4 linked regions of the Drosophila melanogaster genome follow. Changing the gene in region 3 together with the main gene of any one other region gives a genetic interaction. Each region holds a gene or a part of one and is shown on either strand. Other genes may lie near its edges.

Region 1 (7,608 bases), about 11 Mb from region 3:
TTTTTCAGCAGACCACTGGTAGCTACACAGAAAGACCAAATTTGTACAATTTACGAAATAAAAATAACCATAAAAATATAATTTTAAAATTGAAGAAACAATTATACTTTTATATTATATTGTATTTAATTTTACAAAAATTTGATTTTGTTAATTATGTAAATATGAAAGTTTTTTATGCAGTTGTTTTCAGTGTAGAGCGATTAACCGTAACTTATATTCACAGAGAGCGGACAAGAACACTTTCACCCTTTACGCCATTTTGAAATTGCCGAGATATTCAATTTATATCACTAAACGTACATATGTAACCAACCTTTTTCGGGTTTCTTAGAAGATTCAGTGGAAGTGGCCAGAGGTGCAGGAGTCTGCAAATCAGGAACTTCATCAAAACGATTTTGGCGCACAGAAAATGCTGCCGCCTGCAACTCGCTCAGTTGCGTCACAATAAGTAGCAACAAAATAAATAAAATGCGACTCATTATGCGTTTAATGAAACATTTGTTGGCTTATACTTAAAAAAGAATCGACAAGCTCAACCTAATCGTGTTAAATTGAACTTAAAATGCCGCCATTTTGCACTCGATACCAGGAATGCTCGATATCACAGCAAGTCGAAAGCAGTGTACTGTAATTCTCGTACGTGTGCTGTTAATGTCAGTAACATTTTACTGTTAAGCGCAACTTCTCTTATTAGCAAATTGTGCAAGCAGTTCAAAAAATAAAAATGTTCAATATAGAATTTCATTAATATTATAAAAAAATAAACAAATATTTTTTTAGTTGATATCCTTGGCAAAAAATATTTTTAAAACCTATGAGTAAAAATCCGGAAGCCAGTAAATCGAAAACCTAGTGTTCTACCAAAATAAATTTAATAAATTTTAACAATGTTTGTGACAATGATCAATGCATAGGGCGACTATTGATATTTAGAGTTTCACAAAAATTAAAATGTATTGCATCAATTAAAATTAATAAAAGAATTTGTTTTTGTGGATTAATTACGTTGATGTTGTTTACGTCTATTTTAAAATTGCTTATGCCGGTAGTTTTGTATGGAATCGATAATAAGCAAACCAAAAATCACGAATATATCGATGTTTAAACTCGCTGTAGTTGCATAGTTCTGCCACTCTAAATTCAAGTGGTTTGTTAACGGGGGTATAAACTTTCAAAATTGTATTTACTCTCTTATAACTTACCAAAATTTTATTATTATTATATTATTGCAATTATTGCAATTTTGCAATTTACCTTAAAAACTTTAAATTGACGTATTTCTAAAACGAAAGCGCTGGCCACGAATAAGGCTTTCTAGTTTTTATAACTTTTACATCTTCACAAACTTTTACGTGCTTTTATTCGAAAAAAATGGAAAATTTTAGCACGCCGTTTAATTTGAGTTAAGTTTCCGTTTAAAATACCGCAATAAAGATGGCGTCCCAGAGTAGCGAGAAATCGATATCGATGCCAACTCATTTTTGCGTCACACTCAAATATCGCTAATTCGCCAGCTATTGATTACCATATATATTTAAAAAGCGAACCAGAACGTAAAATAAATATTCATTGAAGTCCAATAAATAAAAATAGTATAAAATATGGATAAAGCGATAAAATTTCGTGCTAGAGCTATCGGGGGCTATCGAAACGAGCACCGATAATGTATCGCAGTGCCAAATACTCGTACGTATCGATACTATCGTGCGTGCTACCCGCTCTAATCTTGTACAGGCTCGCTTCTTCGTCATGCTGCGAATTTGTTCGAAAAATAAGTGAAATACAGCGCATTAATAGTGAAAAGTATGTGCAGCCTGTGCAGGGCCCAACTGGCGATTAGCCGCGTGTGATTGTGGCCGCCGTATCAGCGTTTTGGCAGCGCCCAGCCTGGCGAAAAACCATCGAAAAAAAGAAGAGAAAAGAACGCCAGGCGCAGACAGACAAGACTTGCATACACTACTACTTGAATCGTTTCATTTCGTTCCGTTCGTATACCGAGTTTGCTGCCCTGTCCCTGTCTTCTCACGCGAGTTCGTTTTTAGTATATATAGCCAGTCTGTGGACGGTCGTCAATGCGTGAATATTCTTCTATGTGTAAGTGGTGTGCGTGTATGTAGATTTCTGGTTAAGAAAAGCCCCAAAAACCAAAGCGCCCCGCAAAATATATATTGAGTCTTCTTGGCCCAACAACAAATCTGCCGCCGGACTTTCGCCCGAGGGCGAGTGAAAAATTCAGTTTCTCTCCTCTCGACGATGCACTTTGGAGGCTGTGTGAGTGTGTGTGCGAGTGAGTGCGTGTGTGTATACATATGCAAATGATTGGATGTCGAATCCTTGCATCATCATCATCTTCATAAACACTTGGCGAAAAACCGCAGGAAAACGCAAGCAGCCGAACAAAAAAAGAGAGCCTCTCAAGACAACGGCAGCGGCCAAAAGTGAACGCGCAACAAACGCGGCCAAGCAGGCGCGGCAATTATTTATAAATCTTAAGCGTTAGCCCCCCTCTCTCTCCCACTCACGAAAAGAAAATAAGTTAAACAATTGTGAGATGATGCCCCCTCGTCCATTCCATTCCAGTGCTGTGTAAACGCGAAAAATCGGCATAGAAAATAATTACGAAAAAATCATTACTGTGCTGCCCGTTTCATTCGTTTCACACAGAAACTAATAAAGCGAGCAAGGGAGAGAGTGAGCGAGCGAGCGAGAGCGCCATATGCCTTCAGCCTGGATGGCGAGCAAGTGCAAGTGAGACGGAAAGGGATACGGCGTGTGCGTGTATAGCCGCCAAATGTGAAAAGAGAGAGCGAGAGCGCCAACGAGAGTGGATGCGCTCAAACTGCGAGAGCGGTTGCGGCAGGGTTGTCAACGCACTACGATTTGCCCACCGTACGCGGCGGAAAATAAATTGTTGTGGTATTGGTGCTGCCTGTTCGAGTGAGCATGTGTGTGCGTGTGTTAGTAGCGGACTTTTCAATACACAACAGCCCACGAACGAGTACAAATTATTTATGTTTAACCCGCTCGATTTAGGCCCAGTGATATAGGACTGCCCCCTTTAATAAGCCAGACCCCCTTTGCCAAATGCTAATCCCCCGTTTTTGATAACTTGCAGCTAACATAACCTCAAACTCGCCGCTGCAGTCGTCGTCATCATCAGCGTCAGCGTTGTTGTTGTTGGTGGTTACCGGTGTTCCATCAGTAGCCGCCACACATCTGGGAAAATCCGATCCGGAAAATCTGGGAGATCGGGAGCAGCGCAGCCAGAAGCCGATGAGCAGCCATGAATGAGAAAATAAAGTCGCCGCAAACACAGCAGCAGCAGCAAGGTGGCGCTCCCGCCCCTGCTGCCACGCCCCCATCGGCTGGAGCGGCTCCTGGTGCCGCTACACCGCCAACCTCGGGCCCGCCCACACCCAACAACAACAGCAACAACGGTAGCGATCCCAGCATCCAGCAGCAACAACAAAATGTTGCCCCACATCCATACGGCGCACCACCGCCCCCAGGATCTGGTCCTGGAGGACCACCAGGACCGGACCCAGCTGCAGTCATGCACTATCATCATCTGCACCAGCAGCAACAGCAGCATCCGCCACCACCCCATATGCAGCAACAGCAGCACCACGGCGGACCTGCACCACCACCGCCCGGAGGAGCACCTGAGCATGCGCCCGGTGTCAAGGAGGAGTACACTCACTTGCCGCCGCCTCATCCACATCCGGCGTATGGTCGCTACCACGCCGATCCCAACATGGATCCATATCGCTATGGCCAGCCGCTGCCAGGTGGAAAGCCTCCACAACAACAACAGCCACATCCTCAACAGCAACCCCCGCAGCAACCGGGGCCCGGTGGCTCACCTAATCGTCCGCCCCAGCAGCGCTACATACCCGGTCAGCCTCCGCAGGGACCCACGCCAACGTTAAACTCTCTGCTTCAGTCCTCGAATCCGCCGCCTCCGCCGCAGCATCGCTACGCCAACACCTACGATCCCCAGCAGGCGGCCGCTTCGGCGGCAGCGGCAGCGGCGGCTCAGCAACAGCAGGCCGGTGGACCCCCTCCACCAGGACATGGACCGCCGCCACCGCAGCACCAGCCATCGCCGTACGGAGGGCAACAGGGCGGCTGGGCACCGCCACCAAGGCCCTACAGTCCGCAACTGGGACCGTCACAGCAGTACAGGACACCACCACCGGTAAGTGATCAAAAAGGGGATATTTGGGGATAACAAGGATAACATGCTTTTTTGGGATAGAAAAGTTGTAAATTGAAAGGTATATTTAGTTGCGTTCACGAGAAATCATTGCAAGTCCATAAAAATGTTTGAAAGTTCTGTAGATACAAGATATTGTGGAAGATACATCTAAAAGTCAAGAGTATTCGGCTTAAATAGTCTCCGAACTTGAAATAGTTGTAAATACTTTGTTCCGGTGTAATACGTTGTTTAGGAATGCCTTGAAGTATTTACCAAAAGCAGTGTTTTTATGATTCGTTTTAATTCACAGCTTCCGAAAATAGAAAATGCGGTTGTCTTTTCAAGTTATAGTATCTTATTTCATATTTATTCTCAATATTGCGGGGGCAACCTTCGGCTTTAAAGTAACGAAAAACTGGATGGTAGCTTAAACGCCTTCCAGGATAGAAACTTAATGAAAAGGACACAATAAATGTTGTGTATTCTGTAACAAAATAACCATTTTCCGAAAAGAATATTAAATGATCTAGTTGTTGCACCAGAAATGGTGTCATTGTGCCTAAAGGCAACCTCTTAAAGACTGAATACCAAGAATCTTATCGCCAGGGGTTTCCTTATGTATTTTTTTTTTATTTTAGAGCTGTCTTGACATTGACACTGATTTTGATTCCATCGACCCCAAACCCACACACACTTACTTACTGGAGTATTTCCATGTGCAGGCCTCCACGGCATGTGTTTCATGCTGTTGTTGGTGCGGTTGTCGCTGGTGGCTTTGTGCTAGCTATCTCCCTCCCCCAATCTCCTACCCCACCGCACTCCACACACCCACTGCCCACTCATTCCATGGAGAGGGGCTCGTCACGTTTTGTGCACATGTATTCGTTTGGGAGTGTGTGTGTATGTGTGTGTGCGTGGGAGGGAGGCTGCAATATTTACTGTTACTTTTTAGGGTTTCGTCTTGGTCGCACTTCATTCAGTTCACTGAGGATTTGCCAAGTCCCACTCGAAGGAAAGAATATAAAAAAGGGGCAGAAGCGGCAGACACACTGACACACATAACGTAAAAACATTGTACTCAGATTCCGCGCCTTTTTCGCCCGCCCCTCCCACTTAGTTCCCTGCTCCTCCTCCTCCTGTAGATACCCCCATCCCCTTGAAAATTCGCTGTTTAAGTGCCGGGTGTTGTTGTGCTTTAGTTGTTGTTACTGGGCGAAGCCGGGTGAGAGTGAGGGAGACGGACAGCAGAGAACCGGCACTTGCCGCCGCAAAACAATAACAACAAAAGGCCGCACCGCAACGGTAAAATAAGAAGACAAAGAAGAAGAAGCAGCGGAATAACAAGAAAGAGTTTCGTACACAAAAATGTTGAGGTATTCATTCACATTCTTTAGGGTTTTTAGGGTTTCCTGTCCCCTTCATGTCAACATTATCGACGGCCTGTTGGCCTCGTGTCTGATTGGAATAATTTTAAAGCTTATCATTGCATTGTTAGTGTTAAACGTTAAAAGAAAGAAGTGGATACTACTACTCAAAACTTGCAAAAGATGGAAAGGGGTTTGTTACACAGTTAATGAAGTAGTTATTTCTTACTGTTTTCTTGACATGACTATAATTATAGACAACAAAAAACATATATCAAACAGTAATATAGTAATGAGTCAAGCCATTTTTATCAGTCGATATAACTCCATAGTATTAAAAGCGAATGTAAAAAAGTGTTATACGGAACATAAAGATACCGTAAAAAGTCGCTCGTGTGAAAACATACAATCCTATACAATTTAACTAATGGACACACCGACCCACAACCCACACCTTATACGTTTTAATGGATAAACAGAAATATAATGTTTTTGGTTGGTTATGAACTTGTAGTACCTGTAGATTTTTTTCACAGTTCGTTTTGTGTTTTACTCTTTGTAATCCCTGATATCAAGAATTTGCCTATCAGTTGTGTCAAGCGATAATGCGCTTGAAGTTGGTGTTTGGTTTGGTTTGCTTGGTTTGTTGGCCCCAATGGAGAAGCACGTGATATGATTTTTTCACGTTTTGAATTAAACGGAAACCGGTTAATTGTTTTATTAGTGGGGTAGTGTGGTAGTTAGGGGGCTAACCCGCCGCAGCCCAACAAACTCATATTTGTGGCCCGATTCCGTGTCTATGTAGTCATCGGTCTGCCTGCTTCTGGCATATTTGATGTCACTGCAGTAGGATCGATTGTTTTTGTACTTCATGAATGGTTTGGTTTGGTGTGGTGTGGTGCGGATGTAGATGCGATGTCTCGGAATGGGAGTCAACGAACTTTTATGTCGACGATTAGACAGAGAAATATAAACAAATCTATGTGTGAGCACACAAATCAAAGCGATCCGCTAGGGTTAGACGTGTGCGATGCGGTGCGATGCGATGCGATGTGATGCGACCTTCGAGAGCTTTTGTTTATGGCTCAGTGTTGGTGTGTCTCTATGTGTAGGTAGCTAGTGCGAAATAAAAAAAAAAGGCTGAAAAAGAGTCTAGAAGCGCTGCTATCCAATGTCATGTGTTTGTTTGATTGTTTGCCTCGCTCGGCGGGCTTGTGTGCATAAACAAAGAAATCAAATTGCCGGCAGAGTGTGACTTACGCGTGCATGCAATAAATACATATACTCGCATACATACTTACGTATCAAACATACATCGGTACAACCGAAACGGCAGCAGCAGCAGTAGCAACAACAACAATGGCCAAGTAGGCACCGTAATCAAAGGCAATAACAGAGAAACTTGTTGTTGTCACAGCTGATTCTCCCTCCCTCTCTCTGTTTTGGGGTAGGAGAAGCAGAAGAAGAAGGGACGGTGGTGGAGGTGGGGTTAGCCGGCAAGCTGTGGAGGAAGCAGAAACCAAAACAAAATAAAAATGAAAATCAAGTGAAACCGCGCACAGTCAAAAGAGAGGAGGTGGAGGTGTAGAAGTGGAAGGGGGGGGAGGAGGGCTCGACTATGATGACATGCCTTGGCTCACTCACTCTACCCCTCTCTTTCTTCGAGTGCAAGTGTGCTAGATGCATCCCGTTATGCTCCCCATACATCCTTGACGTTCCGTTTGATTCTCCTTTGAGGTCAACAGGTGCAAGGCGGGCAACAACACTTTTGGGCATATATTAAAGAGCTTAAAGGCCTCTTTTCCGCCTCTTTTTTTTTTGGTGGTACTTCCCCTTCATGTTTGTTATTTTTTGGGGAAAGGCAAAAGGCATTGCATTAACCGCTCTTTTCGTTTGTGTCTTTGTTGTTCCTGTTTGGCCCTCTTCCGACTCTACCTCCACCTCCTCCGGCGCTTTGTGTTTTTTTTATTTCGAGAGAGTTGATGTCTGTGTGCCGGCTTGTTTATGCCGTTTCTTCGCATGTATGGGTTGGCCTGCTTGTAT
Region 2 (7,824 bases), 3.6 Mb from region 3:
TATGGGCCTTCTCAAGCGTTGAAAGTCACAAAAAAATTAGTAGGCAAAAGGAAGATTCATGGAAGATCAAGTAACTGCCAAAACAGGTAACTATGCAGGTAAACTGGTAAATTCCGTGTTAAAAATACAGCTCCTTTTGACAGGACCTCTGATTTTATATGAATTGTATAATTTTTGGCTTAGGATAAATGAATTGTAGGCGGTAATCGGAATCAAAATTCGCGCGCTTCTTAACAGAAATCAGTTTTTTATGTATTAAATTAAAAAATATCGGTGCAAAAAACTAAAAATATAACAATAAAACCTGAATAAATAAATATATGCAATAACATAAGTATACAGACTAAAGGAACAGTCAAACAATATTAAAACGATTACATCCTACAAATTATATGAATAAATCACGATTTGAACGACTATATACCTTATAAATAAAAACAGTGAACATACAACTCTAAATACTGAAGATCCTTAAACTCCAATGACTCTCAAATCATGTTACATGCCTAGTCTTGCAATGGCTGCACAACTGTGAAACAGCTGTAAAACGCGTTGCCATAAAACACTTAGGGCCTCTCGCTCCAACGCAACTGCAACGCATGCCATCTCGCTCGGCGCTCTCTCCCGCGCTGTTCGGCGAATTCAGACAAAAACAAACCATTAAAAGCGCGGCGAAAAGAGCGCGTGCACTTGTCTGTCAAGATTATGGCGGTTTCAGTCACTTTGTTGCTGTTTCTGTGTGTTCGATGTTTTTTTTTCGTATTTCGCAGCGACGGCGAAGAAGAAGAAGAGCGCCGACGGCAACTCCTATTTTTCTTCATGTGCCATTTTTTTGTTTTTGGCTTTCTGTTTCGGTTCTTGCTTGAGTGAGTGAGCGGGAGCAAGCGAGATGGCGCCACATCAAGTTGATATCGTGTCGTCGTCTTCATCTTTTGCTGTCGCTCGTCGTTTGCGTTTGATAAATTGCGTTTATAAGAAAGAGATGAATTGTCATGCACACAACACACACTTCTCTGCCGGCGTCGACGGCGACGCCGACTGCACTGCCGGCGTTAACATCACTGTAGGTGTTCGCAAGTGTGTGCCTGTGTGTGTGCGTGCGTGAGTGTTTAAATCATATTGGCTGGCCCCCCAATTGGTGTGAGTGCACGTGTATGGGTAAGCTTTCCCTCTCTGCCCTCTCTTTCGCTCGTCTGGGATTGGAAGTTTCCAAATGCAATTTTCCTTGAGGTTTTCCCGAGTCGGTTCCTTTTCGGCTTTCTTCTTTCATTTTTTTTTCGCTCACTGGGTGGAGGCCCAGCCCCCTAAATTCGCTTCCTGCCCCTCCTTTTGTACACCCCCCCCCCCACCGTTCGCTCTTCTCGCTTCTTGATTATTTTCCTTTTTCGGTGATTTAAATTTCATGGTCCCTTCAATTTGGCAAAGTTCTAAATATTAAATTAAATTCCTGCTTCATTTGCAAAAATTCTTGAGCTTTTCTGGAGCTGTCCGCTTTATTTGCATTCTTCGAAATTTAAGTTATCTGTTCTTATTAAATTTCATCTGAAAACATTTTTTCACTCAGTATTATTCTACGAACTAAGTATATTCTATTCCTCAATTAGCGCTTCTCAGAAAACCTCGAGTTTTCTTAAACAAATAAACTTCATTTGTCTAACATTTCGTTGGGATCCTTGAACTTTGCTACCGCGTCGATCGATCTATTCGAATTTAACTTGGTCACCGATAAGTCTGAAAAGTTCCCACACTTAAGCGTTTCACTAATTTATTGCACTTAATTGATTCGATTTTATGTGATTTTTGTTTCACATAAATTACTTGGCTTTTGGCCCGAGCAGACGCACAAAAGTTGGACGTCTGAAAAAGCCAAAAGAAAGCGAGTCCCGAAACGAAAAAAGGGAAAAAGCAACCGCAAATCAATCAAAGTCTCATAAATTTGTCAAAGTGTTGACAAGACGCAGAAACAGAGCACCTATATCATACATAGTTCCCAAGATTTTGGGGGTTTGGGATTTCGGGATGAAATGGCAACCAGATTAAGTGCAACATCATCTTTTTGACCAGCGAAAACAGACACGGGAAATCCTTTTGGCGAGCGTCGGAAAACAAACAAGGCTATTTTTCATTTTCCTAAAAACGCCGGCCAAATCGCCCCGTCTCTCTCGCTCGCCAGTATCCCCGTCTCTTTCGGCGTAATGGCAACTGCAGCGCCAAGCCAAAAATACGCTGGTGAAAAATGGCCTGGGAATATGTGTTAACTGCTTTTTAAACTGCCACGAGGACGACGACACGACAGTAACAATAACAGCAACAATAGACAGGATTTCGGACTGAATACGAAGATTGGCATACCTTGTTACCCTGTAGTTATTGGTAAAACAAATTGGACTAATTTATTTTAGTTTAAAATGTAAAAAAAAATTTGTACAATCACGCCGAAGATATCACAATTGACTGAAAATTGCCCAAACATACTTGTCATCAAAAAACTTGTTCAAATAATGCAAAAGCCCGTTTCCTCAATTTTTTATTTTTGGTTTGAGATGTAACACCATTTGTACAGGGTATATAAAAAACCAAATGAGAGTAGATTCGCCAAACAGGAGCGCAGAATGACCTGCAAAATATGCAATTTTCAGCGAATGTTTTTGACAATTTATCGCCGTTCCATTTGTTGTTGTTCCCCAAGAAGTAAGAAAGAGAGAGAGAGGAGAAACTCGAACAGCTGTTTGTTGTTGTCAGGATCGCATATCCTTCCAAAGTGGCCAGATCACCGTTACAAGCCAAAAGGACGCAATAAAGGAACTGCAGCGAAAAGTTTGTTTTTGTCGTCCACGTTTCTTCTTCTTCTCCTTCAAGTTTCTTCTCTTTTTTGCCGCTTTTCTTCGAAGGCGTTGCCTATTCGGGCAAAAGTGTGTGTGTGCGAGTGTGTGTGGGGGCGCCAAAAGAGAGCGAAAAGTGAGCGAAAGCTGAAGCTGATGGACAACTGAAGCTTTCTCGCTGCCTTTCAACCTGTAAAGGTGCGGCGAAAAAGAGCCAAGCTGCCAACTGCCACTCACTCAAGCGAAAATAACAAATGGGATTGGTTTTTGCTGATTTTCGACGCCGACGCCGGCAGAGGGGCGAAAAACCCATAAGCCGTCTCCTTTTGGCCAAAGCCAAATAAATTTCAAACGCGGCGAACATTGCGCAAAAAGAGGCGAAAACTGAGAAAGAGAAAGAGATAGAACACCGCTGTACGGTACTGTATATGCATGTGAATGACAAGTGTGTGTATGACAGAAGAGGCGTACCAACAAATCAGTCATCGTCGCCCAGGATGCGAGCGCGCCTGCGCAGGCAATTCGCCGGAGCGTTCGCATAAACCATATATTCCTCTCGCTTGCACTCGCTGAGTTATGGCCAAGAGCGAGTTAATGGCACAATTGTTGCATCTGAACAGAGCGGGGCAGCTGCATGATTGACAATCATGCCGCACCGCTTGCACCCGTTGACTTTGCTGTTGTTTGTCGCTCAGCGCTCTCTTCGCTGTTAGTTAACAGCGATGTTAGGAGTGGAAACACGTCCGACTGTAGCGTAAATTCAAACGTATCTGGCGGGTTGGTTTTTCGATGAAATATCTTTCATCCGCACAGTGTATTTTTGACTGCGAAGCGCGTACGACGTGTGTCTGTGTTGCGTTGCGTTCGAATAAAAAAGAGAAGAAAAGCGAAAAAGTGTTGCCGTCGGTGAAGTTTATTATTATTATGATTATTATTATTGCCCGTTAACCACGCGTTTTGCCATCAATCAACAAATAAACAACACAAGAAACACTTTGGAAATCGCGCGCGTTTTTCCATCGCGCGAACAAAACAATCACGTTTTTTAGTGTGTTTTTCAATCACAATCGAAAAGTTCTCCTTTTCACAATTGAAGGCCAAAATAAATACTGTTATTTGAGGGCCGCGGAGGGAATTTCTTTCAACGAGGGGATCCCGCCGATCCCCCCGCAAAAACAAAGAAACACGCAAATTGCCGTCGCAAAAACACAACAGAATATATTGCATTATATATTAACAATATAATTTGTTCATCTCTAGTAACGTAGTATGTAGAAGCAGCTGTGATAAATAGTGCGCATATTATACGAAAAAAGCAAAAAGAGTATACGACAAACAAATAAAAATTAAAAGCAACCACAACTACTACTATAAAAATAACCAAGGAAAAGGCAAGGAAACTCGCAAAACGAGAGAGAGAGGAAAAGGGAAAAAACGCCATGGATTTATGACAACAACAAATGCAACCCAGTAACAAATGATGTTGCAGCAACTACTACAATACACGAGTATACCAAGAACATCAACAACAACAACTGCAACGGCAACCAACAACAAATTGTATACGATTTTTATAAACCAAACAAATGCTATGTAAATAATTATTATAACAAACACACAAGTAAAAAAAACATTCAAAACCAGATCTCCCGCTCTAGAAAACAAACAACAAACGCGCGCGTAACAAAAACGACAACATCAACAATACAACAAGTATACAAACGTAATAATAATACATAAAATCTAAACAAATGTGCCTGTGTTAAAAAAAAAGAAAGCAAAATCAAGAAGCAAAGCGTTCAAAAAGCAAAGGCTTCCCAATACATGAAAAAAGTGCAAAACATATATAAAAATCCAAGAAAATAACATCCAAAACTGAAGAACTGGAAAAGCCAAGAGTAAATCTAAGGACTCCACACGGGCAGCTACAGTAGAGCTTCCCTAAAACCGAAGCAGTTGCAGCGGCGGAGCGGGACGTCGGTCAGTGTGTTGCGCCCCCATTTGTTGTTCCTACTGTAAAAAGTGGCACAAATCGGGTTAGACGTCGCTCCCAGAGCATTAATGGCTCAGCCCAGGGTAAGTAGATCCACCAAAGTTCACTTTCTAAATATATAGAATCCATATAGAATGGTCCCCCGAGAGTGTTGTTATCCTTAAACAAGTTCCGACGGCTAAAAAACAAATGGGGTTCAGTCAATTTGTAATCAAGTCAAGTGGTGCCGACGGCACTTACAGGTTGTAGTTTATGATGATATTGTAACAGTTTTCATATCATGGATATGTTACCAGTGTAACCAAATCAATCTATAACCAGAATACGCAAAAAGTTTTAAAAATCTTCAGATATTAGTTAATCCAACTTCATGAAGTAGATCTATATAAATATTTCTTATACATGGCCTCCAAGCTTCTCCAATTTAACCCATTACAATCAATTCAATGGGGAATAGTTCTTGTTTATTAGAGCCCTATCAAAATGAATTTTAACTAAGCGTTTCTGAGTGTGTGTGTGTGTGTGTGCTTATGTGTATTGGAATAGGACAGAAATCACATTTGATTTATGCGGGTCATTTTCTGGTACAAGTTTATATAATTAACTGAGTCTGCAGCTAGACCATTTTATTTGGGAAGTGATGGAAATCAAAGATCGCCGAAATAGTGATAGATATTGTATTACATTAAACAACGGTTTACTCTAGAAAATCATTAAATAATGTTTATTGAAAATTGTTAGCTTTTCCCCTTAACTTTTCATTTTCACACCGCAATAGTTGATTCGATTTTTGTTTAAACATGGCTGGGACCTTCACCTCCGAAAAGCCCCCCCGTTGCATAGCCACAATGATTCCACCATTTTCCATCACGTTTATAAGGCATAAATTCTCGCCTCGCTTTTTAAACGGAGTAATAATTTTTACAATCCATCTGGATCGTAAATTATATGCTAATCAGGTGACCGGCAGTCTCCGCTCGCCCGCTCTTCAAAAAAATATTATTACCAAATCGCAGTTAGACTTTATCAATTGATTATCATGGACATGCGAAGTGAACTTGATTTTTATTTAACGGAGCAAAAAGACCTCAAACATGGCCGTTTGCCTGTGTGTGTGCTACCAATTAGCGTGTGTGTGTGTGTGTGTGTTACCAAAAGGTGGGCCATGCTCTTTGGGAGCATTAAAAAAATCAGAAAGAAATATAAAAAATAAAAATGGATATGGAAATGGAAATGGAGATGGGAAAAAAGAAATGCCCGCGGGAATTTTGTGTGTGTCTGCGTTACTGGCGAATAAATTTACGCCTGTGGTTTAATACCCGATTCTGTGCCGAATTTACCTCTTTGAATCCCCTTTTTCGTAATTCTCCTGCGGCTCTTTACCCGAATCGCGCCATTTCAATTCCATCAAATGAATTTTTCGACTCGGGGCGAGAGATATATGTATGTATGTACGAGTATGTGAATATATACGGGTGTTCTGTCTGTTTGTGTGCATTTGATGCATATAATTTTATTGCACATTTTGCACATTGCCAGCGGCCCAAAAGCGATCCATTCAGTTTATGCCGCTTCGTGGTTTTATTATTTACAATTTTATTTTTACCATTTTCCATGACTTTGCGCTGCTATAATTTGCGAAAAATGGCGGGAAGCAATTTTCGCGGGTTCTTCTCAAACCAAACTGCACATGCATTTTTATATATATTTAATTTGATTATTTTATGCCATCGAAACGGAGAGCAAACGAGAGAAACAGTGAGAAAGAGCGGCCGTGTAAAATGTGCAAAAAAAAAAAATGTGCAATTGCAATTTGTATAAAAATGTGCATTGCAGCTGCTGCCATTCTCCCCCGCGCCCCCTCACTTTTCCCACCATTTTTCAGTTCGTGTGCCATTTCAAACGCCTGCGAAATGCAGCACAAAAATTGTTTTGGTGTTATTTTAATTTAAAGGTTAACCGCAGCGTAATTTGTGGCATAAAATATAATTCGTCTATCGTGTGCTCGCCTCTCCCACTGTGTTTGTTCAGCTATTTTTTGTATTTCTCGTTCGCTTTAGAAATAAAATCAAAATCAAAATAGAAAAGATCAAGGAGAGCGGAGCAGCGGAAAATGCCACAGTCGATTCTGTGGTTTACTTTAGTGGCCAGCAGCATTTGCAAAAGTTGATGGAAACATTCGGAATTCGACTTAGGTGGCAAACTAAAACATTTTTTTTGTTGAGCCAGGAAAAAAATTCTAGTTATATATGTATATATTATCAGTATATAACAATGGTCCGCTGAAATGTGTACTTTCAAATATACCAACTGCTGAACTCATTCCATTAATAACAATAAATTGAATTTGAAATTCCCTATGTTACAAAATAACATTCGTCAGCAAAGTATAGTAATATTTTTTCCCGCCTAGTCCTTATCATATTGCAATAGTTTAATCTTTGCCAGCGACCAACCTTCGTCGCGAATTCTTTTCTAATTAAGTGAGCAATTCTCCAGTCTTCCCAGCCTCACCGCATGACTCATGGGCTCCCCACTTACCCCCTTTGCCACGACCCCCCGTTTATCAGGAGATTTCAGATATATCTTGGCTTTCGGTTGAGAATCCGCTCGGCAGACGCTTCACATGCCAGCGAAAATTGAGCGAATAGGAAGCGTCAGGCTGAGAGGAATATTTATAAACAAATTACATATGCATATTTCTGCAAGGGGTGCGCAGGGGGAGGGGGTCATAAGACTCTATATGGGGCCTCCACTTCTCCCACTTTCCACCGATGTTGTTTTTCGTGTGCTAAAGAGCTTCATGTTTAATGATCAAATTGCGTGCCTGATTCTTGGGTCGGTGCCTGCTGGTGCTATATAGTTGTTGCCTTTGTTGTTATAGCCTATAGAGTAGTATTATTATTTTACTTATTTTTTCCCGGCCTCTCTGGCTTACTACAGCACACACATAGTTGCCAAGTTTGACGAGGTCGCTGGCTGCCGTTGAAAGTGTTTTCATTAGTTTCA
Region 3 (7,619 bases):
TTTGAGGTCTTTCATCCAGCTGAACGGCACGCGCGCTGTGCTCCGCCAGTTGTTGCTGAAGGGGAGTGTACCCCTTAAAAGGGTTGTTCAAAGGTAGCTTAGCACTGGGGTATTGTAACTACACAGAAAATGTTTTTATTTATAATTGATATTAGCGAGTATTGAGAAGAATTTATTTATATAGAAAGAAATATAAATGTTCCTTATTCCATTATTTTGATAATAATCAAAAACGGAATTTTTTAAAAGAATACACAGTTGCCTGGGTCATATGAAGAAAAAAATATAGGGTAACTGAAAATTAATTTGCTTTCTCAGAGTATTTCTAAATTTCTTTTTTAAATGAACTTATAATGGTTGTAAAATGAAATAATAAAGATGGTCTTTGTAGGTACATGGTATATCCTATTCGATAGGTTCTTGGCTCAGTTTGCTGGAGCGGAAACGCAGGCTTGGGGGCGAGTTGTCTGTGGCGGCGGCATGTGAAAATATTTCCCAAGGTGAACGCCACACACAAACACGACGCCGACCCACGGGGACGGAAAAAGGACCCAAATGCAAGGAGGCACTCGATTCCAGCTGAGACCGGGTCTGGTTTTGGGCCTGATCCTGGACCCGAATTGAATGATTTAGAGTCGCACAGTTGTCAAAGAGCAGCGATGCGTACGGACAGCATCCATGGGACCTTTCTTTCTGTGGGGAGGGCAGGAGCTAAAGCGGGACTGTTGCCCATCCCAATTGGAATGGGTGGTGTCCGGAGTGGGGCGCCAAGTATGCTTTTAAAACCGATTCATCCGTTTTCATGATATTTATTGCCGCTACATAATTGAGTGTAAAATTTTTTGGGGTTCGGCTTAACTTTGATATATCAAAGGTACGTTCACAAAGTAATTTTATTTATGTAAATACGTATAAATATTGAATACATAATTTAAAAGTGTATATAGACAGGTTTTATTGTCAAATATTTTAATGTTTTTGGAGGTTTGTGAGAAAATTAATAAAAATTATTTCTTAAATGTTCATGAATCCGCATACTAAATCTTAACTTTATAGATTTTTTAGTTACCGAAATCACGATGTTCATACGGACAGATATGGACAGTTGAATAGACAGAGGGACATGGTCAGCTCGGCTCAGAAAGTGATCGTCAATTTGTTATGGTCGGAAACGCTTCCCTATACCTGGTTCATACGTTTCAACGAATCTAGTCTACCCTTTTACTCTACGAGTAATGGTAACTATTATACAAAAATACATTATGTTAATTTCACATTATTAAATAATTATGCAATATGAGATTTTCATGAAGCCTTCTTTAACAAGTTTAAGTCTGAATGCTTTTCTGATGTGATTATTATTAAATAGCGTTATGAAAACAGCTTAATTTGCTTTGATAAACTCATATAATTGGAACCCCATTAAAATTCAATTAGGTGATGACTACATTTTAAATTTTTTGTTTCAGTAAAAATATATTTGAATATACCAAAGAACGCCATAAAACACCCATAATGGAGACTCCAAGCAAGTACGACATTTCAAAAATTGCATTAACATCCGGTAGAATTTTTGCCGCTGGCGAACTTGCAGTTCCAACTGGAATTTTCAGCACCACTGTTCCACCAAGAGAATTCTCCGCACTCAGAAAGGCAAAAATTCTCAACTGGAGCTCACTGGCAGCGCCGTCAGCAGAGCAGCCGACGACTGCGTAAATTTATGTGAGAAATGGCAATTGAAAAAAGAGCAGTGCGGCGCGCTCACGACACACATAAAGCAAAATAATGGCACATTCGTCACACTTAACGCGGCCGCATCTGGCCGTCTCGCTCGCACCCGCGTCTGCCCCTCTCGCTCGCACTCTCGCTCTCTGCCTGCGCCGCCATCCATCTTGTGCGTTTGTGTGCCGCGCTTGTGTGTGTGCGGTCTCTGAGAATGCTTTATGAGTGTGCGTCTGTGGCGGACTCCTCCCTGTTTACGACGCTGGCAGCGCCGCAAGCAGAAGCAGCGGCTGCAAAAATTCGGCCAACTTGTGTTGTTGTTCTTTTTCCGCTCCACAACAGCTGTGGGAGAGCGAGAGCGTAGGAGAAAGAGAGAGAGTGAGAGCGATGCTGAATTGTGATTGTGTGCGTGTGAGTGATGGCCTGCATGTGTGCGTGCATGTGATTTGTTGTTGGCGCGCTTCGATATAAACTCGGCCATGATGGTTTTGCCGTCGGCAAGTGGATGTTTGGATGCCATACTCCCCGGTTCCAAGTACCGTATTCCGGGTTCCATAATTCACGGCGGCCATCATTCTCCCGATTATCGAATGTTAGCCGATAATGAGATATCAAAACGTCTAGATATGACTTCATCGGGCAAATCACATTTGCTATACAAAACTGTTAATTATGTATGGTTGTGGTATATTTACAAAAATAATTATTAAAAGATACGTTTATACGTTTATATACCATATCTATAAGCGTTAATTAAGAACATCTAAAAAAGATAAAAAATCGAGACAATCGAAATCAAAAACGTTTTTTACTCTTATAAGTACTTAAGCAGCATAACAATTTACAATTATTTTACATAATAGGCAAACAGAAACTTTCGACCTTTCCATTGCAAAACCCTATTTTAGATTATTTTCACTGGTAAAATAAATAAATAAATGAGTTTGTAAATTAATGATTCAGTCTGAAGTAATCGACGGATTGATACTTTAAAAACTAAAAAGTCAACACAAGGCCTTTAGAGAACCGTATTTGTAAATTGTACAATTATTTTAATTGATTTTATAGAAGGTGGTCTCCCACAAAATGGTAGATTTGACCGCAAAAATTTAAAAACAAGTAAACTGAAGATGTACACATCTTTCACATCGTTACGCTATTTTAAGAAATTAAAAGCAAATGAATTGATTGACCATATAGTCCAGAAGAATGGTTAAAAAGGTATAAAGATATTAAGTTATAAAGATATAGTAATCGCTCTTCGAAATAAAAGTAGAAACTACTCGATAATGCCCAGACAATCGAATTTTAAATAGTTTCGATTTTAGAGAAACTGAAAAGAGCACTTAAGAGAAAGAAACTTAAAATTGAACCTTGCAAAAAATTGTATTTAATAAACCAAAATGAATGAAACAAATTTCTTAAAAACCTAATAAAAAAGTGAAATCAAATATACCAACCAAAATAAATCTGGGAACTGAATAATCGAAAATAACTGGATGTGCATCATAAGATCTTCTTTTGAAGACTGACTACAGTTTGCAGCTCAGCGAGCTCGGGCCGGCAACTCAAGCCGGTCAACTCAAGTCAGGCGCCAATTCGCTGCTCCCACTCGCTCAGCTCTCTCAGTCACTCAAAATGGCAACGAGAGCAGAACGGTTCTTTTGCAAAATACTTTATGACCGGAGCAGAAGCAGAATCGGACCTCTGTCGCGGTCGCAGTCGCTGCCAGTGCTGACGGCGCTGTTGCGGCCGACGCTGACGCACATAAATAAAACGCTCTCTTTCGCTCACGAGTTTCTTATAAGACTTTATTTATATACTGCGCTGCCACCGCTGACTGCGCGCCGCCGCCGCCGACTGCGCTGGATTAATAAGGAGTTCTCGCTGGGATTTTCACATGTATATGCTTTGAATTGAATGCTTTATGGGTTTAGTTTGATAGGAGTCGTAAAGAAATCAACATCACACAACAAAGCACTCGAGGACCCGTCCGTGTTCCGTTGACTTAGCCCACGTGCGACTGTATGTGTGTGTGTGCGAGAGGGATCCCAGCAGCATAACGGTATTCGGTGCCCCGTATTCCGTAGTCGCTATAGCGGCCAATATCTTGGGGCTGGGCTCTCGGAGCTGAACTGAACTGAACTAAACTGAACTGAACTATTCGCATTCGTATTCGCTCGCTCTCCGTCGTCGCGACCGCTCTCTTATCCCAATTGTCAGCCCGCTAAGATCATAAAGGCCGTAAAAATAATCATAACAATAATCGTAAAAAATTAGAACCGCAATCAGTCGCACACTGTCCATCGCATGGCGCAGATCGTCATAAACCCATTATTATAATAATAACCGTAATCGTAACCGTAATCGTAATTGTAATCGCAGGCGCCATCGCATAAACAGCAAACAAAAACACCGTCAGAGAAATTGGAATTGAACTTCGCGCGCGTTTCTTTTTATGATGTTCGAGTGTCTGGCAGGTGTCTGGATTCAAATTAAAATTCATCCACATATTGTGCAATACTACTAATGGATCTGGGCTGACTGTGCTGCAAATGAGCTAGAGTTCAAATTTATCAAGCCAAATCCTACTACCTAAGTGTTTATCTATTCTTAAAAACGCATCGTGCACCGAAAACTCGAATCTGTACAACAACGTTTTCTAGTCCCCCGTAAATCGAGCAATATCTACACACTAGCAACAAACAAAAGCTGAAGCTTTCAACTCAAACCACAACAAATTCAACAGAAATAAAACGTAGACAGCCAAAATAACACAAAAAAAAAATAAATAATAAAAAACAAAATACATAAAACGGAAAAGAATAAGGAGCGGAAAAAGTTTCGATTCCACTGCGGGCAAACTTTTTATTTTGGCGCACGTGCAAGCTACCGTTAGCTGAGAATTCCAAAAGCCAGCAGGATTGAAGGATAAGCGCACGTTATTGGATTTAAGAGGTAAGTGCCAGGGCTCGACTTTTCAATTTCCTCACCTTCTTCACTGAAATCAAAATGGTTATATGTTTCTTTTATTGGCCAATTGGGATTAAAATGTCTTTATTCACAAAAATGGTTAATGCGTTTTGAAAACAATGCTTAAATTGATTATAATTATATTTTACTACAAATTTTATGTTATTTCTGCCTATCCAAACTATTTCAAATATTCAATTTAATAATAATCGTAACTGAAAGTGAAGAAAAAATCTTAACTTTAAATTGTAGTAAAAAATCAATATTGTTAAATAATTGCAAAGGTAATTGTACATGTAATGTAATGTCATCTATGCATACCGTCAAAGAATTATTCGATTGTCACTAAAAATTATATATAATTTTTAAACAAAAATGATTGTGAGGTTCTCTTAACATTATTTTTGAAAAAATGGTTGACATAAGTATATTATGTTACTATTAGCTGTCCATTAAATGTTTGAATAAAATCAATCATTTCAATGAAGCTTACATGGATTAGAATATCAGTCTATGTATATGCCGACGGAAACTTTATACATTTCCAAATACTTGTCTAAATATGTGGAAGTTTTGACATTAATGACTCTGTACAAAGAATAGCGCATCTGTTTCTCGATGTGCAGTGGGCAAGGTATAAGTTTTTTGCCCGAACTCAGATTCAACACTTCATAACTCAAAGGGCGTTTTTCGGAAGCTACAGCCAGGTCATCACTCATTTGGCCTGCAAACTGCAAACTGTTGACAGGCTTATTAGCCATTTGCATAAATTTGCAAAGTGGGAGGAGGGGTGGTGGGATGCTTTCAGGAATCCCGGGAGTTGAAGCTGGAAAACTGAAAACGGAGCTCCGAACTTAACTGGCCACGAGTAATGGGCTCTTTGAACTTGGAATTCGTTTTTGAATTATTGCGCATATCCTGGGCAACATAGTTTCACTTCCGAATGGTGGGAAAGGGCAGCCATTTCTCTCTCAGACACACACGCAAACACATTCATACACACACACACACACACGCACATAGTTGGACGAACAGGACACTCTCGGGTTCTCCGCATAGAAAATTTATGCGGCCATTGTTGCAGTGCATTGTCCTTGTTGTTGCTGATTTTGTTGTTGTCCTAGTTGTCTGGCCTTTGCATATTTGTCGTCCTCTCTGTCTGTCGCTCGCTACCTTTTACCTTTCTCTCTTTCTCCATTCCCGCTCTCTCATTGCACTTGCGCCCCACAGAGGTGCGGAATTTATTCGTAATTTAATAAACATTTAAAAATCTGTTCCATAATTTGGAAAGTATCTCTAGCGATCTGTCCAAAAGGGCTTTAATGAACTTATCCTGGCTTTTACTTTCAGCCTGCTTATCGTTAACACATTTCCATTTGCATTTTTGCCAGCTTCGATTTTTGCAAAATCAAATAGATGGCATCAAATGAAATTATTTTCTCATAATTTATTGATTTTATCAGCTGGAAATGTTACACAGCTGACAAAATCATAAACTCCGTTCTGTTTGCCCGGCAAAAACTTTTATGATTTATGGCCGAGTGACAGACAGAAAAAACACCGATGCAATTGGGAGAAATGGGGGGAAAATATTCAAAATTTGTATGAAAACGCACATTTCCCTAGACTATTTTTGTTTAAGTCCTACAATTCTTTACTAACATATTTAGACCCTTATACATGAGCAACCACTTCCTTTTAAACGGATTCTTAATCAAGTTCACACTCATGGCAAAGCAGCAAAAAGATTTATACATCAGCACACCAATGGCGACAACTCTTTTGTAAAAACATTAATCACGACCTCTGAGATTCGGCCGAAAGCCCAAAACTTAGCAACAAAAGTAAACGAAATTGTTGTTAATAAAACGAATCCAACAAAAAGCTTCAACGAAAACAGCCGACCACCACAAAGAAAACTTGTTTGACTTGCCTTTGAAATTAAAATTATATTTAAGCCCCCATTGATAGATGGCGACATGAGTCGGTTAATTAATCATATGCAAGCTCAGTAAATTTAAATAAAACAAAAACCGCTCAAATAAAAACCTAAATTTCACACAATAAAGTCTCTAGACAAACAAAGGACCAGAAACGGCAAAAACAGCGTTTTTTTTTTCATTTTCAAATCACCAAAAATATTATCGACTTCATCGGGTCCACAACATTTTAAGGCCCTCGGGAACTGAACTTTGATAAGCCGCCGGAAATGATGAACCTTGTGTAATTTGTTTATCGTTTTACCAATGGGACTACAAACTTGGCATTAATTGCTTTCTCTGAAAAGTATTTATCAAGACTGTGCTTACGTTATTACTTAAATTTTACTTTTATTTAACAATCCATTATTGATATAGATTACAAAAGTTTCTTGCGACACATTTACATATACAATTTACACATCCAATTTACTTCCATACTTCCATAAAATACAAATAATAACATTATAAAAAAGAGAAGCAGTCAACTGTTTTAAATTAAATAAATTATTTAAAATATATTTATATTTTCGGAATTTAAATACACTGGCTTCCATTACAACTGTGAAAAAAAGTTATTCTTGAAAAAGAGAAATAGATGTAACTGCTGAAAATCGGACAAAATCGGCGGTCAAAGCCAACTAAAACTCAATCCAATTTTGTTGGGCGGCAATTTGCAGTGACTGCAATTAGTTTTGGCCACGGAAAAAAGGGAACAAATGGGAGAAAGTCTTACTATTTTATTTTTTAGCCCAAATGCAGTCAGCGGCTCGAACTGTTTTATATATACTTGTTTTTATAGGTTCGTGGTAGGAAAACAGGGACGAAAATCGGGGTGAGGTGCAGGGAACCGCGGAGGGTGCAGGGTCGGGGGCCAGAAACCCAGCGGGAAGCGCTCGCAGTGACATTGCGCCGAAGCGGGTGACAATGATTTATGGCCAAGAG
Region 4 (7,767 bases), on a different chromosome or scaffold from region 3:
CGGAAATTGCGGCTAAAAAGTTTGTTCATTCCTACAAAAATTTGGAAATTCAGACAGTGCGTTTCATAAACGTATCTGTTCTTTCTGATACAAATAATTACATAATTGTGAGAAGCTTTCGCCTTTATTAGCCTATTTTAAATTGCATTTGGTTGCATTTCTACATTTGTTTATTCAATTTTGAACTAACTTATCGATTTGAAACGTGTTGTACGTTTGTTTTGCGACTTCAAATAGATATTTCATTTTGTTCTGGTGTCGCAACGATTGGAATGTGGAATGTCTGCGCAAATGGTTGATATTATATTTTCGTTTTCTTCTCGACCGAATTCTTTTGTTTATTTGCCCGATCGCCCGCTCAGCGGAACGTAATAATTCAATTTTGCACTTTAATGTGCAGGAAATGGACATGATTTTTATGTGTAATTTATTTATTTCATTTTTGTCATAAACGCAGACGAATGCGAAATTGAAGCAATTTTCCGGTTGCTCCTTGGCCGCTTCGCAGTATGTAAGCAATTTATTGTAATCCAGCTTAATCTGCTTAAAGCCGCCACAACAATGAAGGCAGCATTTTCACAATGCCAATGTCATTCGGTCTTCCTATAATTCTCACTTGGCGATCATGCGGCTCACTTAAAAATCTGGCTGACTGAAAAAAGCAGTCTCACGTGCCCTCCAATCACCATTGATTAACCATTAATGGAAATTCACAATCAACTGCCATTGCTATTCAAATTCAAATTCAAATTTGAGCAATGGCACGTTTTTTTTTCGGGATTTCTTTACGGCACACAGAGTTTTTGTATAGAGATAAATTATCTGATGCATATCTGACAGATTGTCCACCAATTGAATTCTCGTTGGCTTTCTCTATATAGCTCAATTGGTTCGTTTACTCGAAATTAAAGCATGGAAAATGGGTCTAGACAAGCCAAGAAACCAACTTTTCATACGCCATAAACCATGCATACTCTAATGTTTCTAGCGAGTTTTGAATATATCGATCTATAATGAGATGGCATTTAAAAATTCATTCGAGTTTAGTAAGGTTTTTAGAAGGTCTGGTGCTAATTATATGTTTTTTCTATTTATAACCAGCTTTATTCACCATCTTTTCAACAATTTTAGAAACAGGAAACCATAAAAGTTCCATATTAAGTGTGTTCTTAGTCATGTCCGCCCAATTTGTCCAGCTTTCAACACCCTCACACGATGAATTATATAATTTCGAGCCGCCAAATTCAAATGTTCATATACTTTTATTGCTGGACGGTGTGCTTGTGTGTCTGCCCCCTAACTAATACTAATGCAGTTGCTACCCCCAGTTGGGGGGATGCCATAAAAAGGCCACCAATCGCCGTACGTGCCAAATCGACTATAGAATATATAAAATGCCATATGCAAAATGCAAATGCAAAAACGAGAACGAACTGCAAACATGCATAACAGTATTGTAAGTTATGTATTTCAGAATCCCTCTCGAATCAAAACAATTGAAACACCAACAAGACAAATATCAATAACGAACGCCTTGTGGGCGTTGGATGGCCACCCGGGAGCGGAGGCGTGGCAATAGCATCCCCAGCATTGCTACCTCATGCAACAAAAACAACGTGCCCGCAGGTTTCCCAACGAGTCTATAAATAGCCCGCCACATGAGGATTGCACAATTGCATATCACTTTATAGAATACATAACAATAAAAAAAATAGTGACTACCACAATGGAAACCTCCGCTGGCGGTAAATGCAATTTAATCAGCCCCATTCGTTGTTGTTGTTTTTTATCTCTGGGGTGTTGGATATCTAATTCTTGGGGCGGGCGCCAAATAAACTTACAATTAGCATTGCCCATGAAAACGCTGGGCAAACAATAAAAAGCTTTAACTCACAATTTGCATTTCTAGGCGATAAGCGTAAGGAGAAACAAATTTATTAAGTACTATACAAACAAACATGCACATTAGGTAAGCAAAAAATAATAATAATAAAAAAACAATAGTATAATAATTCTAAAGATCTGTTAATCACGTTTAAGCATTTCGTGTTTGCTTTCGCAATAATTTTATTATTCACCAAAATGGATCGAATATAACTGCCACTTGAAACTGCCGCTCAAAAACAAAAAAAAAAAAAATTCTGATAGCCGCTAATTGATGAAGAAAGTGTGTGAAGCGCGAAATGAAAACTATTTTCGTTTTCCATACGCTGCTTGCTGGCCACAATTCATTAACTTCTGTCAGGAGATCATAAATTAAAATTAATCTAAGACAATTTAAGCAGGCTGCAACAGGCTGATAAAAACTCGGGTCGAGCGCCGTTTGAAAAGCGATAAGCGAAACCCATTGAAGTCACGCGAATGGCGACAAAGTCGGCGAAATGGTAAAAATGGAAAATGGAAAACCATCGATTGCGGTGGCCAACAAAAGTGGGCGGTAGGTGGTCGAAATTGGCTTAGCTATGGCCATGAACAAATATTATTTTTAATATTGCGACAGAAAAGCAGGAAGAAGAGGTCAAAGAACAACAATTGGCGGAAATCGAATGTGTGAAGTGAACGGGAAGGAAATGGCCAAAACACTCGTGCACACATACACTTACTCTTACGCTTACTCACTCAAAGTTACACTTTTAATGTATCACATATATAATCAGACTTATTTCCCCCACTTTTTTTCAGTGCATTCCCAGCTGCATGTTGGTTTCTGCGCTAAGAAGTGCAGCTGTCCTGATTTGCAGAAAAGGTCAGCAAACAACAAGCGATTCCCTCGAGTGGCCTGACTTGCCTAAATTTAGCTCACTCTTTTCATTCTTTCTGTTCCAATTAAACCGAATTAATCGCCAAAATCCACGCGCAATTACCCCCACTTACCCTTTTTTTACCATCAACCAAAGAATCTACACCCCCCACCGCCGCCTTTTCCTAATGATATTTTAACGCACTTGAGCTGGTTTCTATGCAAATATTGGGCGCTACTTAATGGCCAAACAAATGAGTTGGGCAAATAACATCGGGAATCGGAGTTACTAATTTTTACCTTGATGCTCCACATTTTCAATGGACTCGTCGCACATTTTGAGGATCCGTAGATTCGCAGCTCTTGATTTGTTTTGGTTTTTTTTTGGTGGTAGTGTTAAATGCCAGCGATTTTGCGAACCCTCAGAATTTAAACAGACGACGCGCTTCTTTAGAATTTCCCGATTTTCGCAGCGAGGTGATTTAAATCAGAATCCAAAAACGACGAAAAACAAAATAAACAATAGTGGTGGTGCGTCGGTAGATTTCTTGTGGCTATCGATGTTAGGCGCAGAGTCGATAGTCGCTTCTGCCGAAATGGCGCTTTTGTTCACTGTTCTAACAGAAATGTTAATTTACAATAGGGATATTTTACAATCAGTTGGATTTTTAAAAATTAAATATAAGTTTGTGGAATCGAATTTTTCGCCTATTAGGACGAAAATTAAGCAATTTATTTTTAAAGTAAGCCCACAATATGCTGCGACAAACTGTTAATATAGATCGACTGTTAACCAATTAAACTCCAACTTTCATCGTATTAAATTTCATAGAAAATCTGAAACACAGCTGTTAGCCATATATTAATGTTTAAATATATATCATTTATTTTTTTAACATATGCTTTAGAAGTTTTTAAGTCTTGTTTAAACAAATAAATTACCATTTCAAAAGACAAACTTACGAGTGCTCACCAACGAAAGCTGTTGGCTACACAACAATTGCTGGCTTATTTAGCACATGACCACCAGCAATGCTGCCACTCTGCCACCGCCAGCCTTGCCAGACCCCGCAAAGTATATATTTTTACAAAATGGTGGCTTCTTCGCGGAGAAATTCGTAGTGGCGATTTTTAACAAAAAGCACGCATCTTGGCCAGCCAATTATTGTAATTTGCTGGCGAAAACATTCGCAACCACGCTGGCTGCGCCGTGTGGCTGAAAATTCCGCGAAAAAGCAACCGAAAATCGCACAAGAACCCAGTGAAAATAACTGAAAGCGAAGGCAGGCAATAAAAAAAACGCAAGCAAGCAACCAAAGTGCGTGCCTGTGTGTGTGTGTGTTCGAGTGTACGTCTGTGTGCGCTGCTCTCTGTCTGTGCCTGTGTGTGCGAGTGTGCCTCTCTGTCAGTGTGTGTGTGCGCAAAGTGTATGCAAAAAAAGAAGAAGAGAAACGAAGAAGAGCATTAAAAAAAAGCGTACGACGAGTTTCACGCGCGCCCAACAACAAAAACACCAGAAAGCAGCAACAGCAACAACAACAAAATCCAACAACACTTGGCAGCAGCGGCAGCAATAAAAAAAAAAGCAACAACAAGCAAGCAGCGAAACGTAAGGAAAAATCTACAACAAGTGTGCGAAAATTAATTATTACTAAGTGTGTCACTAATTTAATTTGGAATCGCAGTTGCGCAGCGTGCAAATCATTCAAATTTATGTGAAGTCTTTCGGGCAGCAAAAAACAAAAAACAAAAAAATAACGAAAAACAGTAAAACAGAGAAAACAGTGGCGTATCCCCCCCCCCCCCCCCGCAGTTTTTGAAAGGGTGACCGACGGATGGGTGGGTGTTTGAATCCAGTCTATTATGAACTTTTTGGGGTAGAACAATGCAAACACGAACGAAGGCTCAACAAATTTGCTGAAAAGGAATCGCAAGCGCAGCAGCAGCAACAACAAAGCAAAAATCCAAGCGTCAGCAGCACGGGCAGCAACTAAAACAACAAAAACAGGCCAAGCAACAACAGCAGCAACCCACCACCGTTGTTGCCCCTTTGTTATTGTTGTTGTTGTTGTTGTTATCGTCGGCGTCACCACCGACGCGACGCAACGCGACGCTCTTGCGGCCAGCGCACCCACCACCCCCCAAGGATGCTCCTGCCTCGGACTAACCCCATTCCTGTAAAGCCCCCCCCCCCCCACACCGCCCTTCCCTGTTCCTGTGACCGCTCCTGCTGGCCGTGCTTCTTCTTCTTCTTCTTCCACTCAGTCAATTGCTGTTGCTGACGTTGTCGGAAAAATGTGTCTTGTTGCCTTTTTGCTGGCTGATAAATAAGCTAAAATATGTACTTACCCACTATTAATGCTAGAGAAGTGTTTGGAATTGTATTTATTGGCAATAGATTATAAAAAATATCGCTATAACTGGCGTTATTCCCCGTACTAATAGTACTATTGATATGGACTACTACGACTTACTTAGATATGTCATCTTGGTACTAAAGATTTTCTGATAGCTATTGTTATTCAATATTATACAGTCCAAATAGATAGATAGATTGATTATTATTATTACAGATGTTTTGAACATAGGTCTGCCTGGTTTACATTGTTTATAAAATTTAATAAGGAAAGGATCAAAGAATATGGGTCACATTATTATGTAATTAAAAGTTCTCAACTCAAAACCAGGTACATAGGATTTCAACTATGCTATGCAAATAGCTAACGTATAAAATTGCCAAGTTCTATGGCCTCATTTGGCGACTGCTTTTGGTAGTAGTATCGCTAGTGGGGCATTGTTTTTTCGCAGGGCGCTCCTTGCGCCCCAGCTGCTCAATTCTTCTGTTTGGTTCTTTCATTTTCTTTTTCTTTCGCTTAATCATCTCCATCGTCTCGGCTCTCACCTACGTCATCTCTTCGCCTTCCAGCTGTGTTTGTGCAAATTAACCGAAATATACATTTCCGGCTACTCGCTGCCTCCTCGCTGAGCAACAACTACAAAAACAACAACACCAATAACAACAGCAGGAACAACAATATCAAGAACAACAGGAGCAAAGCAACAAGAACCACCACGACCGCCGCCCACCCCCTTTGAAAATCCATCGACACAGCACCACATCACCATCGTCGTCATCATCATCATCATCCTCAGCAACTTGGAGTCTGGAATCTGGAGACGGAGACCGTAGACCGGAGTTACTTTGCCGCCTGCTGCTGGAGAGAGGAGCATCTTCGTGCGGGACGCCTCGACGATACACAACCCCGACTACGGATTCATGGTGAGCCAAGACATCTGTTCGAGCCCGGCGCACACATTTAATTATAATTATTTGTTTGCTTAATTCGATACTTCACGCTGGCCCCCGTCTCATGTGTCACATCCCCTCGATGGGGTTGCTTGTTCATTGTGCCGAAGGGTTTCCACTCGGCTAATGGAGGAAACTATTTTCCAATGGTATCCCAAAGCAATTAGAAAACCGGGGGGCGCGTGCCCCTAATCCGTTGCTTTGCTATTGTCGCTCATATTCGGATTTGTGGTGTTCATTTTGTGGGCTGGTGGTATTTAGGGGGAATTGCGATTAGATCGATGATAAGGCTTACACATACCCTAAACCCACTGAAACAGATCTTTATCGCCGCACTTGTATACTGCTAATGAGTTGCCTTGTAGGCCAATTAGTACACCCTTGTTCGGAATGAAAAAAAAAAGGGTTGACCGGGATCAGACAGTTTAGAAACTCTTTAGCGCATTGTTGGAAAATATTCCACTTGTTAATAACTATATGAATCTATCAAAACTAGTTTTGGTTGTCCTCTATATGTTTATCAATTTAAATAAAGATAATATTGATTAGCTGCCATTTTGTATTTATAGTGTCATCGTTTTATGGCCACATCTAGTTAAATAGATTAATTTGTATTGTAGCTATTGTAGGTCACTTGTTATACAAGCAATATGGTGCAGGATTAAATCAGAGCTAATGAGGGATTACCAGGTCATATGATACGCAATTTTACGCATTGTTCATGGGGGATTTACGGATCTCTTTATCTCTTCCAATGAAGTGCCATGGTTTAACTTGCTTTTAGCCAAGTGAAATTCGAGGCAGTTAGTTCTTGGAAAACGGAGATTGATTTCAAGGAAATTCCCAGACAATTTGCACCGCTTGCCGCCTTGCTTATCTTCGAAACCCACACCCTGCCCATTTCCACATTTCCATTTGCCCGGCACGCCCGCTTATCTGCACCCACCAACCCAAAATCCACGAAGAGTGCGGCGGCGAGGCCATCTGATTAGAGACGCATTAAAAGGCTGGAGTGTTTAATTAATAAATAACGTGCTAATAATGCATTTAATAAAAAGGCAAGACGAGTGCCGCCAACGGAAACTTAAGGCGCACAAATAACACGAATATTTCAGAAACACAAATACCAAAAAAAAAAAAAAAAAACAAAAGTGCTGTTGGGAAATGGATGAGTTCCCTCGCGGTTTTCCGGCTCCTCTGGTTTTGGTACGGTTTTATATTTTGTGTTTGGCTTTTATTTCTTTTTTTTTGTATCTCTGGTATGTTACACAGTTGCTGGTCGCCTTTGATGTCGGGGTTTTGTGCGCGCTTTCATATTTTATTATTAGTCATTTGGCTTATTTATAATGTGCCGTTAAAGTTTAACTTTATTAATCTGTTTTGTTGCGCTTTTAATTTATAAGTGCTGCTTATCTGATTGAAAAGTCCGTCCGTCTATCCGCGCACACTTGACTCGAGTGTGTCGATTTATTGATGTCGATTAGAAGTAAACGGAAGGTTTTCCTCATTCAGCCTCGGAGTTCTCGCTCTGTGCTCTGTCCAATTACATAACCGATTTAATTAGCATTGCTGACTGGGCAGCCAAGCGGCCTGATCTAAGCCATCCCCACGAACAAAGCTAAACCTTGGACCTAGTGGTGTGTACGTGAGATAAGCTCGTTCGGTGGTAATTGGTCAATGGAAGTGTCAACATTAGACAAATTGTTTAACCTTTTGATAG

What was found.
Region 1: of Antp (region 3) and osa, changing one suppresses a phenotype caused by changing the other (phenotypic suppression), as found in Drosophila melanogaster (2 studies listed by BioGRID).
Region 2: of Antp (region 3) and hth, changing one suppresses a phenotype caused by changing the other (phenotypic suppression), as found in Drosophila melanogaster (one study listed by BioGRID).
Region 4: of Antp (region 3) and Gug, changing one suppresses a phenotype caused by changing the other (phenotypic suppression), as found in Drosophila melanogaster (one study listed by BioGRID).

The regions. Positions count from the first base shown.
Region 1 is NT_033777.3:17,712,445-17,720,052, reverse strand, and holds the start of osa (osa), read left to right. Parts: upstream 1-1,702; 5' UTR 1,703-2,097; intron 2,098-3,118; 5' UTR 3,119-3,286; coding exon 3,287-4,201; intron 4,202-7,608. Other genes in the region: Pxt (Peroxinectin-like), read right to left, coding at 1-22, 317-482. UniProt on the Drosophila melanogaster protein: Trithorax group (trxG) protein required for embryonic segmentation, development of the notum and wing margin, and photoreceptor differentiation. Required for the activation of genes such as Antp, Ubx and Eve.
Region 2 is NT_033777.3:10,610,059-10,617,882, reverse strand, and holds the start of hth (homothorax), read left to right. Parts: upstream 1-3,606; 5' UTR 3,607-4,883; coding exon 4,884-4,898; intron 4,899-7,824. UniProt on the Drosophila melanogaster protein: All isoforms are required for patterning of the embryonic cuticle. Acts with exd to delimit the eye field and prevent inappropriate eye development.
Region 3 is NT_033777.3:6,995,267-7,002,885, reverse strand, and holds the start of Antp (antennapedia), read left to right. Parts: upstream 1-3,657; 5' UTR 3,658-4,680; intron 4,681-7,619. UniProt on the Drosophila melanogaster protein: Sequence-specific transcription factor which is part of a developmental regulatory system that regulates segmental identity in the mesothorax. Provides cells with specific positional identities on the anterior-posterior axis.
Region 4 is NT_037436.4:8,446,109-8,453,875, forward strand, and holds the start of Gug (grunge), read left to right. Parts: upstream 1-3,813; 5' UTR 3,814-4,349; intron 4,350-4,539; exon of another isoform or gene 4,540-4,579; intron 4,580-5,666; 5' UTR 5,667-6,020; intron 6,021-7,767. Other genes in the region: CG6983 (uncharacterized protein), read right to left, coding at 3,041-3,077.